2 linked regions of the Canis lupus familiaris genome follow. The protein of the gene in region 1 interacts with the protein of each later gene in a pairwise test. Links are inferred from orthologs where the notes say so. Each region holds a gene or a part of one and is shown on either strand. Other genes may lie near its edges.

Region 1 (4,469 bases):
TCTATATTATAAATCAACTTTGTTCTTTTAAAATAATGGTCATATGTTCAGACTGAGCAGCATTTAGCATTTCTTTGTTTAAAGTTTTCAAATAGGGAACCCTGGGTGGCGCAGCGGTTTAGCGCCCGCCTTTGGCCCAGGGCGCGATCCTGGAGACCCGGGATCGAATCCCACGTTGGGCTCCCTGCATGGAGCCTGCTTCTCCCTCTGCCTGTGTCTCTGCCTCTCTCTCTCTCTCTCTCTCTCTCTCTGTGACTATCATAAATAAATTTAAAAAAAATTAAAAAAAATAAAGTTTTCAAATAAAGCAGGTTTCCCTCCTTATTCCATTAGGTTTGGAAGTATTTTACATTCAGGGGTGTAAAATGTACACCATGTACTTGATTTATGTCATCAATAGGTTTTACGTATTTCAATACTGAAAATCTTATTACCACATAAGGAATACAATGTTAACTCAGAAGCCCCACCATGTGATACAGAGGCGGGCAGCTGTAGGATACCCGGCTCTCCTACCTGTGCCTGTACTTTCTTATTGAAGTAGAGACCACTTCCCCTGAGTAGCTGGTTTGGGTTTTGTTGGTTCTTGCCTGGAGGAAATACAGTTGTTTTTCCTCAGTCTTAGGTTAGATTAAGAAAAACCTCCTCCTTTTGAAGCAGTTTGAAGCTGGATAACACAATGTCGGTGTTAATGGATTTTATTTTTAACCTCCCAACAGAGCAGCATTTTGCAGATGTTGTACTTAGTGAGGAATTTCTCAATCTCGGCATCGAACAAGTGTGCAGCTTAATCTCAAGTGACAAACTTACCATTTCCTCAGAAGAGAAGGTAAGTATGTTTTTCTTTCTGGTATATAGTGACGGAGTACTTTTCCTTTTTTTTTTTTTTTTTAAGATTTTATTTATTTATTCATGAGAGACACAGAGAGGCAGAGACACAGGCAGAGGGAGAAGCAGGCTCCCTGTGGGGAGCCCGATGCAGAACTCGATCCCAGGACCCTGGGATCACACCCTGAACCGAAGCCAGAGGCTCAACCCACTGGGCCACCCAGGCATCCCTACTTTTCCCTTCTTTATTTCACTTTGTTTTGTAACTTTGTAACCCTCTATGTGTAGCAACAGCCAGTGATCTTTGATCTGGAAGTTATTACAGACTCAACTAGTTGACTTGTTGATTGTGCAGATTAGTTTCTTCAGGCCACAGGAAATGCCCTGAATTGCTAGATGTTAGAGTCTTGCACTCAACCCCCACACCAAGAACCAGCACACCTTAAACTGAGCCAAGTCCTTTTGGGTGCTGGGTTGCTTCCCACAGTTAGATGCCTCTAAAAATTATGACCTAAATGCCATATTTCTCAAACCAGAGTAGTTTCACCATTATGTGAGTGGGAAGAAATTATCAGGGATAACAAAGTAATAGCTTGTTCTAGACTGAGCATTCCTTTTTTTTTTTTTTTTTTAAAGATTTTATTTATTTGAGAGAGTGTACAGCAGTGGGGGAGGGGCAGAGGAAGAGGGGAAAGCAGACTCCCAGCTGAGCAGGGAGCCCGATGCGAGCCGGGCCTCCATCCCAGGACACCACAATCGGGACCTGAGCCAGAATGAGGAGTTGGCTGCTTAACCAACTGGGCCACTCAGACACCCCACCTGTACCTTTCATATTGGTGGAGAAAGAATCTTCTGTTAGTGACTTTTATTCTTTGGGTGGGTGTTATATTCAGGAATTGGGGCACACAAGCTTGTGAACACACTGAATTTGGAGAAAGTGAAACTGTTTTTTTCTTTGTGTGCTTTGCATTTAAGGTTGTATGACCTGTAGCTTTATTCCTCAAAGTTATCCATCCTGCCTGGGCATAAAAAGACACATTTACTATTATATTTACCATATGAAAAAAAAGATGTGAAGAGTGGTTGTTAGATATGTCATCTAGTGCTTGAGAAATATAGAGAGGAGGAAAAGACATTGCTTTGCTATTCATATTTAACAGACACGTATTGAGTGCCTAATGTGGACCAGACGCTGTCACAGAGTCACAGCTACGGAAATGTTAACAAAATAGAAATCTTTACTCCATAGGTTAAAGGGACAACCATTGGGATGAATAAATAATTACGGAATGCTGTAGAGGGTATCGTAGGAACATTTCATCATTCCTGGGATGGGGATGCTGTTAGCCTGGCTCAAGTTCTAAAAAAGTATATGAGTTTGCCCGGGAAGTCAGGATGAGTGGGCGTGGGAAGGGCATGCCAGGTAGGGGTAGAGTATGTGAATGTAAAAAGGGTGTGAAAGGAATCATTGCATTAAGTTGGTTCAATATGTTTAGAGTCTAGGATATATATGTTTGACAGAGCGGTAGGAGATAGATGGGAAGATGGCATAAAATGTCTTCTCAGCTGTCTTAAAGAACCTTGACTTCATCCTCGTGATGAAGAAGATTCTTTAAAGGGTTTTAAGTGGTAGGAGAATGCTGTGGTAATACCCACATAATAGAAGTGGCATGAAAGCTGTCCGGATTTCCTACTGCTGCACAACAAGACACCCCAAAGTGTATGTAGTGACACAAAACAATAGCCGCTTTATTATACTCACCATTCTGTGGGCAGAATTCACTCAGGGCACGTTGGGACAGCCTGTCTCTGCTCTGTAGTGTCTGGGCTTCAGCTGGCTTGGCTTGAATGTCCAGAGAGACCAGCAATGTCTAGAGATGACCAACACATTGGGACAGCTTATCTCTGCTCTGTAGCGTCTGGGCTTCAGCTGGGTTGCCGTGAATGTCCAGATTAGCCATACTGGAACTTCAGTCGGTCTGCACATGGTGTCTTGTGGGTCCAGAAAATCCACATTGGCTCCCTTCATTCACTTGTCCAGCTCCTGGACTGCAGTTTGGTTGGTATCTCTTTCCACTTCTGTCCTCTAACCCTCTCCCCTTCCCTGCCCTTCCCTCTTTGGGGCTAGTTTGGGCTCCTCATAGCATGGTGATCTCAAGTAATCAGACTTCTTGCGTGACATCTGTCTTCCCCCAGATGAGCATTGTAAGAGACCCGAATGAAAACTGAAACGCTTCTTATCGACCAAGCTTAGGAAGTCACGCAGCACTTCTGCTGCATTTTTTAAATTTTTTATTTTTTTATTTTATTTTATTTTATTTTATTTTATTTTATTTTATTTTATTTTATTTTATTATTTATTTTATTTTATTTTATTTTATTTTATTTATTTATTTTATATTTTATTTTTTTGGTGACACAGGGCCAACTTAGAGTCCCTGTGGCAGGTTCACTGCATAAGGTGTGGATACTCAGAGATGTGGTTTATTAAGGGACCATTTTGGAGACCAGCCGTCAGTAGTGTGCTGACTGAACCCAAAGTGGGGCAAGGGTCAGATAGGAGGATGTTGAGGTCATACCAGTGAGCAGTAGGGTCTGACCTAGGATGGTGGAGACAGGTGGAGAAGAGAGAGTAGAGCTGAGAAATAGTAGACAAAATTGACAGGATCCTCTCTATTTCTAGCACCCAACACATACAGGTACTTTGTAGATACTTGGTGACTGAATGAATTAAAGAGGCATGTTAATTATAATGTAGATTTTTTTACTTTCATGCTCTATCCCAGCATCAACAGAAATATTTTTTTGTTCCTAATAATCCAACTACCTATTATCAGGCACTTTCCACAAGCCTTTAAAAATTACTGGATTATGTATTCATCAGTCTGGAAGGAAATTATATAGTCACGTACTGTCTTCATATTAGCTCATTAACGTTTTCATAGGTGTATGTTGTTAAGTTGTAATGCCCTTATTTTTTTTGTTTTTATTTTATTTTGTTTTTATTTTATTTTGTTTTTAATCTACTATTCAAAAATAGTAGATTTAATATATTTCATTGTGAGAAAAGAGAGTTCATCTATTCTGCAGACAATTAAGTAATTAACTAATTTTTTCTGCAGACACTTAACTTAGAAGTGTATGGCTAACATTTCTTTTTAAACCTAAAGAAAAAGCCTAAAATAGTTGTTTATGAGGGTATGTGATATTCATTCAACAGTATCACTTTGCTTTATTATTTTGGGCCCTTTATTCCAAAGAGACTTGAGATTTAAATCTTGGTAAGCAGAACCACCTTAGGAAGGTTATCAACAGTGAATTAGATCATGTATTGTCAGATTATCACAGCTACCACTTAAATTCAAGGAGATTAGATAATATATTTGGTGAAATGCTTAGTAAAATACCAAATGAAGAATACTTAATACATAAAAGTGCTGAAGGTACTTGCTAAATTAAAAATAGAACTACCATATGATCCAGCAGTTCCACTTCTGGATATATTCTTGAAGAGACGTCTGCGCTCCCATGTGCATTGGTTTACTGCAGCATTCACAATAAACCAATTCAAAGATTTCTAAATCTTTGATTTCTAAATCAAGATTTCTAAATCGTGGCTATTGTGAATAGCCACGATTTAG
Region 2 (4,469 bases), about 1.6 Mb from region 1:
TTCCAAGAATGACTGCAGCTACTATAGCTTGGTCCTACAGGAATTAGAAAGATAAAAAGGGCACAGCACCTGCTCTAAAGAAACAGAGATGCAGCTAGAGATAGGCAAGTAATAAAGCAAATTAGAAATGTGCTGGAAGGAGAGGAAAACTTTACTGTCAGGGTAGAAAGATATGATATCACTATCATCACTATCACAAGTGACAGTTTTGAGAATTTAAGAAGAAAATAAAAATAAAAAATTATTCAATAGACTCACAAAAGAAATCAAAGAAAGAAATTCAAACTAAATAAATACAATAAATAAAATCAAAACCTTGAAATACATTACAAATCTGATATGACTGTGTATTTTAGAAAGAAAAAAAGAAAATGAGAACACACCAAGGCCATATCCTTCATACTGTTGTCGCTCACGCTCCATTGTCTGTTTGATGACTGTCTCCCGGGAATAGTGCCGCCTTCCCTGCCTGTCTTTGATGCTGTTATGTAATTCAATCTGCTCTAGTTCACTGCTGAATCGATTTAAATACCTGAGAAATAAGAAAGCAATTTGAGTTACAAGTCTACCCACCATTTGGCTTACAGTACATCATTTAAAACAAACCCCAGCCTTCGCCCATCCTTGAAATTTTTATATTCTCCTGAGTTCCTTGTATCCTCAGACTTCAGACCCTCCCTGAATAGTCCAAGCATGCCCAAAATTTCAACATCCAAATCACTGCTTGCTATTCAAGTATCTGCTAAACTCCAGACCCTCACACTCAACCACCTCCTGAACATCTCCATTTGGATGTCCCATAGAAGCTTAACATATCAAAAGTGAACTTGTGCCCACCTCTATCCCCACCCAACCCCCACCAAAACTGTCCCATCTTTTTTTTGGCTCTCTACTTCAGAAAATAGCACAACCATCCACCCACCTGCCCAGATGAACAACATAGGTGTCCTCCTTGACTCCATTTTTTCCCTTTTATGTCACATCCTAAGTTTTCACTAAGGATTGTGACTTTCTACCTTCTTAATATTTCTGGAATCTTCACTTCTCTTCACCATACTGCTACTAACCATGGAGAGGCCAGCATGCTCTCTTGCCTAGATTGTTTCATCAGCTTTTCAACAATGTCCTGCCCAAAGCCATGTCCCCTCAGGCCACCATCCTCATTCTCACTACTATAACATTTCTAAAGTTTAAATATGATCATCTCAGGTACCTACTGTAAAAAGCTTCTTATGGCTCCCAATGTCCTTTGATAAGGTCCAAACTCCTACAATGATCCTTGAGGTCTTTCATGAGCTGCACCTGTCACTGTCACAATGCCCTCCTTGAGCCTGTTATTTTGGTTATATTAAATGGCCAGCAGATCACTAAATATGTCACTCTTATATCTGATACTGTTCTCTCAGCCTAAAGGCTCTTGAACTAACCCACCTCAATCTGCTAATTAGGAAGCCTTTCCCGATCCCAAGAAACCAGGTTAAGTAAACACTCAGAGGCTGGGAAAAGTTATAAGCCTAGTGGAGTAGCTACACCAGGGTGTGAGTCTAAAGCTTTCATGATAACAAAGCCCATTTAATCCTCTATTAAATCCAGGACAGAACTCAGTCTCTTAAAGAACCAAACTGGAGAATTCCCCTTTTCTGAGCCTTTTGCTCATAACATGCCCAGTGTTTACCTTTCAATTAATTCACAAGCATCTTTCTTTGAATATCCTACTTTTTTGGGATCAAGATGACTTTGAAACCACTGCAGTTTTTCACCTGTAACAACAAGTATCAAAATAGATTAACATCATAAATCAGCACCTAAGCAATGAGCATTCATTATAATTTTCAACATCAGTGTGTTTAAAATAGTATCAAAATTTATTTCAATGTTAAATATAAAGGCTTATGTGGGCTCAAAGCTAATTAAACCAGTCTGTCAGAAATCAAATTGTCACATTTTAATCCGGGGAAGAGACAGGGGTGGGTGAGATGCTTTTTGATATATATTATCCAATAAGGATGCATGAATAAAAAAAAGAATATGTTAACAGAACACGAAGTTCTAAGTATTTAAAAAGCAAAAGATAGAACACTTGTCTAAAATAATAAAAATGAAAATTAGATTAGTGGTGAGGATAACACTAATGAACATTTAATAAGCAGCAGGCGCTATATCAAGAGTTTTACCATCCTTTGAGGATTATTATCCCTATTCACACATGTGAAAGGTTAAGTAGCCTGTCCGGGTACTCAAATTAGTAAATATATTAACCATACAAGATCTGTCAGATACCGTGCAAAGAGTAAATGTGACCATCAGGGTCACTTTCAGTTACGGCCATACCTGAGATACGGATGACCTACTTAGAAATACTATTCTATTACCTGAGAAAGCATTGAAGATCAGTATTCAAACAAAAAACGAACAAAGCCTAAGTCACTATTTTTTAAAAAAATTTATTTATTTGAGAGAGTGGAGAGAGACTGCAGAGAGGGAGAGGAAGAAGCAGATACCCGTAGACCAGAGAGCCAGACATGGGGCTCAATCCCAGAACCCTGAGATCATAACCTGAGCCAAGGCAGATGTTTAACCGACTGAGCAACCCAGGTGCCCCTAAGTATCACTATTTTAAAGTCAGGCTTCTAAGTAAAAATTTACTAATAATAAATCTAGCCAAAAAAAAAAGATGGTGACACTGAGATACAGACAGAGGATGCACATATCCACATCACTAAATATAAACTGCTGTTTCTAAAATACTTAGGCCACAATCCTTCCTAATTCTAATGGTTAGGGAGCTAGAATTAAACTTCAAGAGAAGGAATAGTAGGTAGACAGACAGATGGATAGATGTAGGTAGGCAAGCTGATAGATAAATAAAAAATAGTTTCTGAAAAACTGAGCTAGATATTAACACTTTTTAAGAGTTAACAATTGCTTTTACTTTGTTTTAATTAAGTCCAGTAAAGAAAAGTCCCTAGAAGAATCAAAAGAAAAATAGGTACAGAGCAGAATTTCACTACAGTTTAGCCAGAGTATCAATGAGTAAATTTACTTACCAATAAGATTGAGACGCAATGCCTTTTCATTTTTCAATCTTGGAAGAAAGAGTACATAAGGTATTAGAAAATTTCCATAACAAATTTTTTAAAAATCTGTCAAAAACAAACAAAAACTGCCCACAGAATCTTAAGTCAAGGATCATTCTTTTATACAAATGAAAATAATTTGTTAGTGCAGAAACACTGAACACCATGCTTTTCTTTTAAATCGCTGGAACAAAATGTTTCTAGAAACTTTCCTTTAGCTCTTCAGTGACTAATGACTAAAGGACACCTATAGAACAAATCAGTTTTGAACACCAACAAAAAAAACTTGACTGGATTATGAATGTTCAGGTGGATAATACTTATGCACAAGAGTAATGAATACCTTCTAGAAGATGAAGTGTGGCCACCAAGACCAAAAGGCCTTAGTGTCACCTTTTAAACTTCAACAAGAACAAAAATAGAATGTTTACTTTTCATAATTTGAAAAGAATTTTAATAAGAAAAAAACTGATTTATTCTCAGAAAACAATCTAGGAAATACATGATTCCTATTGTTGGTATTCTAAACATTAATTCCTTCAGGAGACCTTTGGATAGTTAGTTTTTGCCACACTTTATGCTACTCACTAGAGATACAGCAAAGAACAAAAAAGTTACTGTCCCTGCCTAACAAAGCAGACCAGATTTACCCTCCCACTTTAAACAACTAGAAAACTGGGAGAAATAAAATGAAGCTTTCTTTAAGCAAAAAGTTTCAGGCACAGAATGGGAGAAGATGTTCACAACACAAATAACTAACAAAAGGACTTGCATTCAGAATATGCAAATACTTCTTACTACTTACTTAATAAGACAACCTAATACCAAAAAGGGCAAAAGACTTTAACTGGTTTTTCATATCAAAGACATGGAAATGACCAAAGGCACATAAAAAGATATTTAAACATCACTGGTCAGGATGTACAAAATTAAATCAAACTAGGATACTATTATACAACTATCAGGATGGCTACAAAGTTTTTCAAAAAACTGATAATACTGCAGGTTTGAGTGTATTGATATGGAGAGAATGTAGCCCTAATACATTGATGGTGAAAATATAAAATGATACTATCACTTTGGATAAAGCAATTTCTTAAATACTAAAATGTGACACCTATCATACAACCAACAAGTCTTATAAACTTAATTTCATATAAACTCAATTTTCTTACACACTTTAACATACAATCACCATATGACCCAGCAATTCTAGTTCTAGAGAAAGAAAAATGAAAACATATGTCCAAACATTGTACATGAATGTTCATGGCAGCATTATTCATAAGAGCAGAAGCTGGCAAATTTTTTCTTAAATGACTGGAGAGTAACATGTTAGGCTCTGTGGGCCCTGTGATCAGTCACTAGAATGGTGGTTAGACTGTTCTACTA

Evidence for each region.
Region 2: the proteins of KLHL2 (region 1) and TMA16 interact in binary tests that used the Homo sapiens proteins (3 or more experiments, as listed by UniProt). The two-hybrid records come from large-scale screens. The link is inferred for Canis lupus familiaris from reciprocal best matches to the Homo sapiens genes KLHL2 and TMA16.

What each region holds. Positions count from the first base shown.
Region 1 is NC_049236.1:61,745,521-61,749,989, forward strand, and holds part of KLHL2 (kelch-like protein 2), read left to right. Parts: intron 1-719; coding exon 720-829; intron 830-1,489; exon of another isoform or gene 1,490-2,699; intron 2,700-4,469. UniProt on the Homo sapiens protein: Substrate-specific adapter of a BCR (BTB-CUL3-RBX1) E3 ubiquitin ligase complex that mediates the ubiquitination of target proteins, such as NPTXR, WNK1, WNK3 and WNK4, leading most often to their proteasomal degradation.
Region 2 is NC_049236.1:60,193,183-60,197,651, reverse strand, and holds part of TMA16 (translation machinery-associated protein 16), read right to left. Parts: intron 3,086-4,469; coding exon 3,048-3,085; intron 1,761-3,047; coding exon 1,676-1,760; intron 533-1,675; coding exon 384-532; intron 1-383. UniProt on the Homo sapiens protein: Involved in the biogenesis of the 60S ribosomal subunit in the nucleus.